Linked DNA regions of Caenorhabditis elegans. The protein of the gene in region 1 interacts with the protein of each later gene in a pairwise test. Each region holds a gene or a part of one and is shown in the gene's direction. Other genes may lie near its edges. The genes, in order: mom-1 and C02B8.3.

What was found.
Region 2: the proteins of mom-1 (region 1) and C02B8.3 interact in a two-hybrid assay, tested with the Caenorhabditis elegans proteins (one large-scale study listed by BioGRID).

What each region holds. Positions count from the first base shown.
Region 1 is NC_003284.9:6,291,168-6,299,020, forward strand, and holds mom-1 (Protein-serine O-palmitoleoyltransferase porcupine), read left to right. Parts: upstream 1-1,944; 5' UTR 1,945-1,959; coding exon 1,960-2,107; intron 2,108-3,109; coding exon 3,110-3,299; intron 3,300-3,363; coding exon 3,364-3,613; intron 3,614-4,047; coding exon 4,048-4,222; intron 4,223-4,271; coding exon 4,272-4,394; intron 4,395-4,928; coding exon 4,929-5,069; intron 5,070-5,225; coding exon 5,226-5,326; intron 5,327-6,625; coding exon 6,626-6,826; 3' UTR 6,827-7,138; downstream 7,139-7,853. Other genes in the region: Protein lev-9, read right to left, coding at 1-114, 180-360.
Region 2 is NC_003284.9:8,137,417-8,140,919, forward strand, and holds C02B8.3 (DUF5354 domain-containing protein), read left to right. Parts: upstream 1-2,060; 5' UTR 2,061-2,165; coding exon 2,166-2,426; intron 2,427-2,485; coding exon 2,486-2,626; 3' UTR 2,627-2,827; downstream 2,828-3,503. Other genes in the region: C02B8.7 (uncharacterized protein), read right to left, coding at 305-463.

The sequences.
Region 1 (7,853 bases):
CAACTAGTATATATCCCTTGTTGCATCCATATTCTGCATTTGATCCAAATCGCAAATCACCAGCAGTTCGTATAAATCCATTTTCAATATTTGGAAGTGGGTGGCACATTGCAACTGAATAAAAACAAAAAAGTTCATTTTTTATATTGCTCAATAGACAAGATATTTTTATCACTCACTTGGGTTCACACAGCTCAAGCCACATTCTCCGTCGCACATACATCTTTTGTTTCTTTTACAATCTTCGTCTGCTATACACTCTTTTTTGCAATGTTTCGGCCGTTGTGATAGAGTAACTTCCGGACAAGATAGGGCCGACGCGTAGGTAATGGAGATGGCGAGTAGTAGTAGAAATCGCATTTAATTCATGTGATTTGGTACTATGAAAATTTTAAAAGAGAAATCCGCTTGAGTTCTTGCAAGACGGCATTCTTTCACCAGCTGACACGCAATGTATTGATTGATTGGGGTCTTTTCAAGGGTTCCCATTGTAAAGTTGCTCGAGTATCATGCTTGTCTGATCAATTATTTGCTGCGGGACATTGTGGCAAATAGGAACTGACTGCTGAAAAATTAGAGGTGAAGGTATTTTGATGTGATTTTTGCGGTTTTCACAACTTTCACAGGGTTACAGAAAAATCTTTATTTTTTTATTTTATTTTTCTCCAAAATTTGAATTCAAAAAAGGGGAGAATTTTGAGAAATATCAGTGAAGAAATACAAGTTTATCGCAGGGGCGACAAATCATATTTTTTGGCAAACGTCCTATTTGGAAATCGCCTTTTAGGTTTGAATGATTGTGGAAGTTTGAGATTTTGCAAAAAAATTGGTAGACTGAAAAATATAAAAAAACAGGAAACAGGTTACAATTGTAAATGTTTTGCTTATGAAAAATCCCTTAAAAAGTATTTGGCAAATTGAGTTTAGTTTCGGCAGATGGCCGAAAATGAAAATTTCTGTCAAATCGCCGCACTTTTAGAACAATAATTAATGCTTGCTATTTCAGAACTGTTTCCCCATAGTTGAATTTTAAAAAAAGTGCAAAAAACATTCTCGAAATGGAATAAATTGGACAAGTGAAAAAATCATTTTGAAAAATAAAAAAATATCTGGAGGTATGGGGAATCGAACCCCAGACTTCTCGCATGCAAAGCGAGCGCTCTACCCCTGAGCTATACCCCCGTACGGCATTTGAGTAAGAGACGCAAGTGAATATACATACATTTTCTCTCTCACCCATTGACAAACTGGTTGCCTCCCCGCGAGGTGTTCCTGTGAAGCGGGGGGGGGGGGGGTGTTCTGCGAGTTGTTGGTTTGCTGTTGAGATGAAGAAAAATAGCTTCTCGCGGACGAGAAAGTGCAGCTAATTTCATTTTTTTTTTTTTGGAAAATGGTTTTTTATTGCTCTCTATTATTGAGAAAACAAGAGATGATCTTAAACATTATTTTTTGCAAAAACTGTTATCTTGTCTTTTTTCATTTTAAATATGTAATTTGTAATTTCATCACATATCTGTAAAATGAACTCATCAAACAATAGTGCTGACCGTTGTAAAAATGAACCGCAATCTCCGAAATAAAACTTTAATTCTTTTAGGGACACTCAAATCTTCCCCCAACAAAACTATACTTTTTTTGGTTCCATTTGTTTGATTTACCATGTTACGCTTAAATGTACTTCACTTGACCGATCCGACCATAAAACTTTGGTTGCATGTCCAAGGCACATCTGTTGTGTGTGACCTCTCCCCACATTCCGGCGTAGCCTCGTTTACATTTGTCCCCTTTTGTTAGACGCAAGAACTATGCAAATTCGCTCTATTTCACTCGTACAGACAGTTGTTTTTGTTTTGGTTTGAATTGGGTTTTCTGGGTTAATTCTAGGTTTTTTCTAGCTTTTTAGTTTTTTTGCCGTTTGGTAATCGTTAATATTTCATCAATTTCAAAAATTTTCAGAAAATGGATAATGGTCACGGGTATGAAGAATTCGAATTATTAGAAGATGGATCGCTTGGAGAGTGCTCGACACAAGTGGCAAATGCAACATTTCTCACAATTTCAAAGTTGATATGTTTGGTCGTTGCATTCAAATTCATCAAACATATACGTAAGTTTTGATAAAAATATAAACTGAGACAAAAATACCTAACAAAATGTTTTAAAAACTTTGTTTCAAACAAATTTGTTTCTAATTTGTTGTTATGTTCAAATTGGAAAACACATGTGCTTGCTTTATTAATCTTGCCAAAAAAAAAATGACTAAAATTTTCACAAAGTAAGACTGATCTAGCTAGAGATAAGAGCTCCATGGTGAGACGGTAGTCTTAAGTGGAGTAACGCCAGTGCGGAAATTGTTAAAAACGACTTCTATGGTGCAAAAATAGCCAACTATTATATTAGCACTTTACGAAACTTCTTATTTTGTTTCAATAAGTGGTAAAAACTCAGTTTCTGCATCCATCTTTAAAAGTTGTCTATTGAAAAAATTTCCTTTGAATTTTATGTTCTTGTTTCAAACATTAATATTTAAACATTGTAGGGATTCGAGCATGCGACAGTGCTATATTTATCTCGAATATTGGCGAAAACTCAAAAATTGCCACATTTTGACAGTCAGAAAAAAGGTTCTAAAATTTTTTGAAAAGTTTTAACATGATATCTGGTCATTTTAGCACCACAGATGTGGTTTTTACATCTGCATACTCTTTTAGTAGTGCGGTTTTATAAACTAATTAACTAATTACTATTAACTAATAATTAACTAAATTAATAAATAATTAACTAATTACTAATAAACTAATTAACAAACTAAATAATTAACAGAGTTTCCTACTGGATAGAAAATTTTATCCACAGAAAAATGTTTCATAATTTGATAACCGATGTTTCAAATTATGTATGTATTGAAAAACATACTAAACCTATTATTTTAGAAGGAAAACGTGAAAATTTCGAAACCAAGTCATTCATTCGTTCGGGAATTCAAAAGTTACTGAGTATTTTTATAGTTGCAAAATTTAAGAAATCATAGTAGTAAATCAGTTTTGTGTGATTTTTTCAAAAACTGGTCAATTTCAGTCTTTTAGCAAATTAATTCCCCTTTTTGTAGCAATTTCAACAACGGTTCGTGTCTATGTACATGTCTTCGCCAGTACTTTCACAGTTATGTGGTTTTCAAGAAATCACCTACAATCGGCTATCATTTACAACATGTTCAGTTTGATATCGCTTGCACTGGCCATCAAACAATTTAGTGGATACATCATTCTTGCAGGGAACATCTCTCTTCTGATTGCATTGTAAGTATTTTTTTTATAAGTCAAGCGTTTGTAAAATTTGTGGGACAAATTAAAAAATTTTTAGGCAAAACTTCTGCCGACACTACAGATCCGAAGACTACTTTTTGTCCATTCGTGGAATTTTGATGATCCATATAATGAGACTGACCACGGTTGCCTTCAATCTGGAAAAAGCGAATAGCAACAAATTCCGATTTGTTCAGTTTTCCAGTTATGTTGAGTACATTTACTTCCCACCGTTCATCATTTTCGGGCCCTATTTGAGTTTTGAGCAGTTTTTCAAAATGAGAGACAAAAAGTGGACAGGATCTGAGGTTTGTTGTGAAGTTTTGGGAACTAAGTCGTAAGACTATTAGTAAGTTCTAAGTGTCAAAGTGTTAAATACGTTTCAAAATTTTTAATCAGAAAATTTTAAACCATGGCTACAGTTTTGAATTTGATTTCAGAGTTGACCTTATAGGAGCGCTACTTTTGAATAAAAAGTGTAACATAACTACAAACCAGCCTCCGATTGCTGTAAAACAGAACTGTCAGCAAAATAGGAAACTTCAATTAAAATTTGGCAATTTTTTAAAAAGTTTCGAAACCCCTAAACGTTTTTAGCAATTTGTAAGAACTTCAATTATGACGTTTAGTTTTTCGGGGACTTTTGAAGAATAATAATAAAAAATTGACCCGTGAGTCCTCCTTCAATTAAAAACCCGAGATTTCATTGGTAATAATAAGAATAATATATCACTATTTTTAGAATGAGCTCGGCTTCATTATTCAGTCTCTCCTTGCAATCTTCAATGCGATCACTCTGGCAATCATATCTTCGTGTCATTTTGAATTCTTCGAACCTTCATCTCAATTTATGGAAGATGCTCTGACAGCTATGTCGTTCCGGTTCAGTCACTATTTTGTCTGTCTAAGCACTCAAGGTAGCCAAACATTCTTGTCTGTTGAAGATAAACTGACATGTTTTTTCAGCATTTGTGTTGATGTTAGGATCAGATGTAGTCGTTGCCAATCCATTGAATATTGAATTCTCCAGATCAACATTACAAACGGTCTCAGAATGGAACAAACCATTTCATACATTCCTGCATGAAAGTGAGTAAATTTATTTTAACAAATGATCGGAAGTGAATCTAATCAACATATAATACATGAAGTCATGTTCAAATACACTATTTTTTATTGACTTTGAAGAAATCTTCTACGTATTGTTATTTGATTAGGGTTTTCTTCCATAGTTCGTTGTTGGCATCGGACAACAACGGCCAATAGAGGGCAATCAGGTGACATCGGGCAATTAGCGGGTTGCAGCAGGCTATTGGGGTCGGGCAACAGTGGGATGTTGCGGGTGAATAGCGGGCCATCTAACCTCAAATTATTTGAAAAACGTCGCCCGTTATTTCTCACCTACTTGCCCGCTATCACCCGCTACTCACCCGATAGTCACCCGATAGTCACCTACTGATATTCCGCTACTTGTCCATTTTTGCCTCATTCACTGTTAATGCTTGCGTAAGATCTATAAAGCAGATTCATTTTAATTATTTGAAGAGCTTTTTTTTTTAATCAACAAACTTAAAATTGGAAACAAACGATACATTTCGTTTTTTCAGATATAATATTTTTCAGATATTTTCAAAAGGCGGTTGTTCAATTCCACTGCATGTAACGTTTTCTTCACGTTTGCAGTCAGCTCACTTTTGCACGGTCTTGACTTCCAAATGACCATTACACTATTGGCTCTTGGTTTTATTGCCTATTCGGAAACTGGTAAGTGAATTAAGAGATTTTGCGGTCAAATTGAGGTTGAATTTAAAGTAACTTTTATCTATGTTATATGGAAACAATACATGTAATTTTATATATTTCAAAAGTTACTGCAAAATGTCTCTACTCCACTTGTATAGTTTAAGATTTTTTTTTCAGTTTTCCGAAAACGACTTTCTGCCCGATACTCAATGTGTGTTGCTGCCAAAGCCTGCCCTGTCCGTTCAAACAGTCTTTCCTGCAAGCACAGACACTCAAACGTGAGTAATTATTTTAAGCGAAGGGACACCCAATCGATTGCCCATTTACATTTGGCGCAGGGGGTCACCATAGATAGGTATCGCGCAGGGAAGATTTACCGCCTTTCGCTTATTTAGTAGGGCACGCAAATTAGTATGCTTAACTGTTAGAAACACGATAAAACACGAATAAATTAACCACGGGCCCTTTTTTGGACACATTTGGAGTTTGCAAATATCGCATGGTTTATAAATTTAAGAATTTGCAAGAGTTGTCCAAAATAAATTGAGCTAACAATAATTTTGAACGTTATGAAACGTTATGATCAAAACATGACGTTATAAATAGTTTTTTGTCAGAAAGGGTATACGTTCCAAGTCAAAGTTTACTTTTCTGAATTTAGACTTTTTTGACTTGATATTATGATAACGTTTAATGTTTGTAATTTGAAACATACTTTGTTTTACTACTACATGTTCAGTGAGTTTCAAAAAATAACAACAAAATCATGATACTTGTTTCATTTTACGTTTTATTTTCATTCAAAGTAGCAATAGAATTTTGAATGAACAAACCCAGAAAAAAATCAAATTTCTAGGAAAAATCTACATATTTGGAATAAAACTAACTAGGCAATGGTCAAAACACTAAGTGGCCATTTAGCCCAAGACGTAGTTAAGATAAATATTAAAATGTAAAGAGAATATTAAAATCAAAAAAAAAATCTTGAAGATAACAGAATATTTTCAAAGCCTGAGTTATAACACATTTTTTAAAGTTAGGTTGTGTGGAAAAGTCTTCTTCGAAACTGCTTATTTCAATATGCTAATTTGAACTTTTAGAAAAAAAAACCATTGAAATGTAGGATATTGTTCGTTTAATTTAGAATTAACATTTACTTCTGTCTAAAATTTTTTAAAAAGACGTCGAATAGTGCATGTAAATTGTAGCTTACCAAAAACAAATTTTCAAAACAATTTAGCTGCATATGACAATTTTATGACACTTTTGAGACCTTTTTCGAACTGCAATTAGAAAATTTATTTTAGCTCTAACAAACGTTGTTCTACATTTCTAAAAGAATTTTTGATTCATATCGTTAGATTATGAGATATGGCTGTTTAATTTCAAAAGTTTCACATTGCCGGACACTAATTAAAACCAAATCCGAGCCACGCCACCAGGCTCATAATCACAGCTCATTTCTTGTATTGCTCCACACGTTTCATTCAAGTTTCCATTTGGTAAAATATCATGGTTTCTTTCCAAATTAATTCCTTTTTTGAAGGAAACACTAAAATTGTTAACTTATTTTACAGAAAACAGGACGTGCTTTGATCATCAATTTGTTCTTCCTTATGCTTTCCATGTACCATCTTGTGTTCACTGGAATGACGTTCACCGACGACTATTCTGCAATTGGCTATCCTTTTGATCACGCCTGGAAGATTTGGGGATCTCATTACTATTCGAGTTTCATGATTTCTTTCCTATTTCTTGCCCTGTCTAAAATAATCTGAGGTTTTGAAAAGCTGAAATTCAGTTGTCAACATTTTTCAACAAAACCGTTTTCTATGCTTTAGTTCTCAGTCCTGGCCATGTTCTCTTACGAGCTAAAACTAAAAATCTATTTTTTCTGTTTAATGACTCAAACTCGGTTAAGAATTTTTCTTTGCAATTGTTTTAGTTACGATCTTTTCATCCTATGAATTATTCATTCCGCGTTGTACAGAAGCATACATTTTGATTTGCAAAATGTATTTACTTGAAAGTTAATCACACTGTGAAACACATTAACATCCATGTGAAAATAATAAAAGAACACTTTGGTTTTACACTAGTTTGCTTAAAAAATATTAGAAGCGTTGAAATATAAACTTGCGTTGTAAGCACGAAAACGGTCAAATAACCAATTTTAAAAAGATGACAGGGAATGTGGCGTGTCATGAAATTGCATGTCTAAAATCAGGAGCAAAGAGTGAAAATTATTATCAAAATATCTCAACTTTTAGAAAACTGCAACAATCAGTAAGAATTCACATTCTTTCTCTATTAGCTAATAATTCATTTCAATTTCCAATTTACTCATGATAAAGGTCTAGACTTCTCACGTTTCTAGCCACATATACATTTTATGTAACGAAACAGTGACGGTCCATAAGTTGAAACCAACTGCAGTAACTCGTCGTTTGCGTGGCGACACCTATGCACGTAAGATCTGACAAAAATACTCCTCTCCAAGCGTCTACCAAATATCAAAATTAGTTTGGTAAATAAAATAAAAACCAAAAGAGTGTATGAGTTCGCGTCTTTTTCTGGGTAGTTGATAGCCAACATTAAAAAATGCCACGGCTTCTGAGAACCAACCGATTTTTTTTCTGGTTTAAAACTCAAAATCAAATTCAGCTATGAATTTTTAGTAACGATTGAATTCATGAAATATTATGTCACAAAATAATTATTTTTGATAATAAAACAGGAATATATGTTGTCTGTTGTTGTTAAACAAAGCACATGAAAAAGTTGATCTAAACTAAATAAATTAAG
Region 2 (3,503 bases), 1.8 Mb from region 1:
GACTGAAGATGTTCGGAACATTCTGGAAGTACATCAAAAGAAAGGGAATTGGACGACACGGACTAGGGGGATCGGAGAACCGAAAACACGTGTTAGAAACCAACAGATGGAATTGAGGTCATATTAAAATCCAGGAAATCCGTCAACGTCTTTGGTAAATTGCAACCGTCTCTTTTGCACAAACATGCATGCTCACTTGAGATGGATGATTAGCTTTGTGGAACTGGAAGGCTTGAAATGAGTGTCTCATAGAAACACTTTTAAAATATGTTGATGTTGTCGGCGCTGGCTATCTGAACTTCGTTTACACGGTACTATAGCTTTCTGGGGATGGCACGTAGCTACTAACTTGGTACACGAGGTCACTCATTGTATAGCCCTTGGAAAGGTCGTCGGAGTCAATGGGCTCCCAGCAACGTATGAGCTTGGTGAGTTGATCTTGGGCATCTTGGACAGCGTTCATGGCGGTTGGACGGGAACCGAAGGCAGATGCCAAGACGAGAGAAGATATTAGGATTTTTCTCAAAATCTAAGAAGGGGTCACTCGCTGTATAGCCCTTGGAAAGGTTGTCGGAGTCAATAATCGGCATTTATCTGCAGATTCTTGCACAAGTTCAGCCCTAATAAATTTATTGAATGGAACATTATCAAGGCTTCCTATGCCTGCTTTTCAAAACACACGCTGGTCAAATGCAGATTCGTTATTTCATGACTTTCGAAATGATTAATTTTGTTTTGTGAGCACCATGCTTATTAATTTAGAAATTCAGATAAAACAGTAATATGCTTTGACGTTTCTTCATATTTTTTAAATCACGTAAAAATAGGCTACTAAATTGCAGTATTTAATTTTCTCTCAAAACGAAAAAAAGCCACTTATGAGGTTACTTAGAAAAGCTTCAGAAACATTAATAACTAAGCTTATCAACGCATGTTATTTCTATTCTCAGTCTTTCAATTGCAAAAGGTTTTTAGGGATTAATTAGGTAAAGTTTAAAAAATCTAATGAAAAGAAGATTTGATTTTTTGAATTTCGGTTAACATTTCTCAGATTTTCGTTAGATAAAAAAGGGGCACATTAAGATTTTTTCATTGAAGCTAAATTATCACAAATGGGAAGTTTGTTTGAAACTATTAACATTGTGCGAAATTGATAAAATATATGAGTGTGTACATATTTTATGAAACGCGTTAATTAACAAAATATGTGCATCAATAATTTTTGAAATGAATGTAAGATTGAGTTTGTCTCAATATAATGCACCACAACACTTCATGCTTATTGTGTAGTTCATCGTAAGGTCTCGTACACAACTCGTATCACTTAAAATGGCAAAAATGGGTACTGCAAAAAAGGACACTGTTTTCTGGGAGAAAATTAATCATAGTTTTTAAAAAGATTCAGAATGTTTCTCGTTTAACCAACATAACACATATCATTCATCCTATACTACACCACTTTGGAAAATTCGTTTTGAAAATAATGAGTTTCTAGATGTTAGTACAATTCAAATGTTCCCCCGAAATTGGATTCTTTCCTTTAACTATCAAACTAACTCTATAAATTTTGTATCAAATAGTTTCTTAAACTTAATATAGTGACGTATTAGCCCAAAAACATCTGAGCTCATCCAAAGCTGTCTCGACTTCTGTTCAGCCAAAAACTAATGCATTAGAAATTGGCTTCGACTGTGTACACATGAACGCTTGATTATATATTAGATATGTAACATTTTTTTTGGATACTGACATAACAAGTGATAATTTTCTCAAATTTTTTCCAGATTCTGTTGCGTGTCAGTCACGGAGTGGCAACGTCAGAGCCAGGTACACACTGTAACCGGTTTTGTGCCATGTACACTTCGAAAGTGGGCGGGATGTTTCATTTCATATGATGCTCATCCCTGCAATCCTCCTCGTCACTCAATCTGCACTTTTGTTTCTCTTATATCTTATACGTCTCTTTTCCAAAGACTCTGTAAGCCCCGCCTTATGGAATTCTTGCTCCGCCCTTTCAGCTTTCATATTCAAACAGCGCTGAGAACAGTATTCGCCAAAAGCTGAATTCTTTTACAGCTTAACTCTTTCGTGCTTCTTCGATGTTGAGAAAAATCCTTATATCTTCTCTCGTCTTGGCATCTGCCTTCGGTTCCCGTTCAACCGCCATGAACGCTGTCCAAGATGCCCAAGATCAACTCACCAAGCTCATCCGTTGCTGGGAGCCCATTGACTCCGACGACCTTTCCAAAGGTCATACAATGAGTGACCCCGTGTACCAACTATGTAGCTACATGCCATCCCCAAAAGATTACAACAAGTTCCACGTGAATGGAGTTCAAATGGACAGCGACGACTACACCACTATTTTGACAATGTTTGCCAACCAACTTCCAGGATACGCTGTTTTAAATGTCTGTCTACAAGAGGTAAGCTATCAATACAGAAAGAAACACTGAAACAGATTTTAATGAGACATTTATTTCAGGCCTTCCAGTTCCACAAAGCCAACCACCCATCCCAAGTCAGCCTGAGATGTTTGTGTCAAAGAGACGGTTGCAACCTGCCGAAAACGTTGACGGATTTTCTTGACTTCAACAAGGGCCCAATCCCAGCTGTTAACTTCTAATTTGTGCTCCAATCCTCCTACTCCTTGTTGTTCGAAACCGTGCCCTCACTCGTGCTTCCAGAATGTTCCAAACATCTTCACTCTCTCAATTCTCCTGTACTGTCGTTCAAAGAATGCCCTTTTTCCTTTAATTTATTTATAATTTTCACAAGAATTGTTGCAGTAAGGCTACAAACAATCAGAATAAAAATGTGAACTGTTACCGCAGTTTTTATTGCTAAATTTTCAGGGGTACATAATAAAGAATTTGCATGGGGAGTTGTTTTCCAAACTATAAAAAAAGTTGTTTCTTATAATTATAACAACTACGAACAGATTTGTTTTACAGACGCCAACAAAAAATTTTCGCTTAACTTGTTTTAGTAATCAATAAGGTCATTACTGTGACGTGGATAGGCTATGTTCTTAATGGGAAAACCAGAATAAGAAAAGCATTGAGGCAGAGCATAATGTCGATGAAAGTCCAAGTTTACATTAATACATAAAAATTTAAATTAGACTTATCAATTCCAATAATAAAAAACTTTGAAAACATAAAAATTAAAATTATACAGAACGAACTTGAAATGAACTAAATTTGTTCTTCACTTTGCTTCCAAGAAATCCTGAAAAAAAAATCTTCTAAAACATCTTTATTGAAATTTAATCTTGTAGTTTTGCGGAAGTAATTCCAATAATTTAATTGTGTTTTTCAAATAATCCTTGAATTGAGAACATCACAATTTTCAGTATTTATCCCGCTTAAAATGACGGGAACTATCAAAATTTGCAGAATTCCTGTGATCATCATTTCCTTTGAATGCTTCAATTGTTTTTGAGTTGAATATCTTTCAGTCCTGCTTGATTCAATAACAATGGAAAAAAACTTTTAATCTGA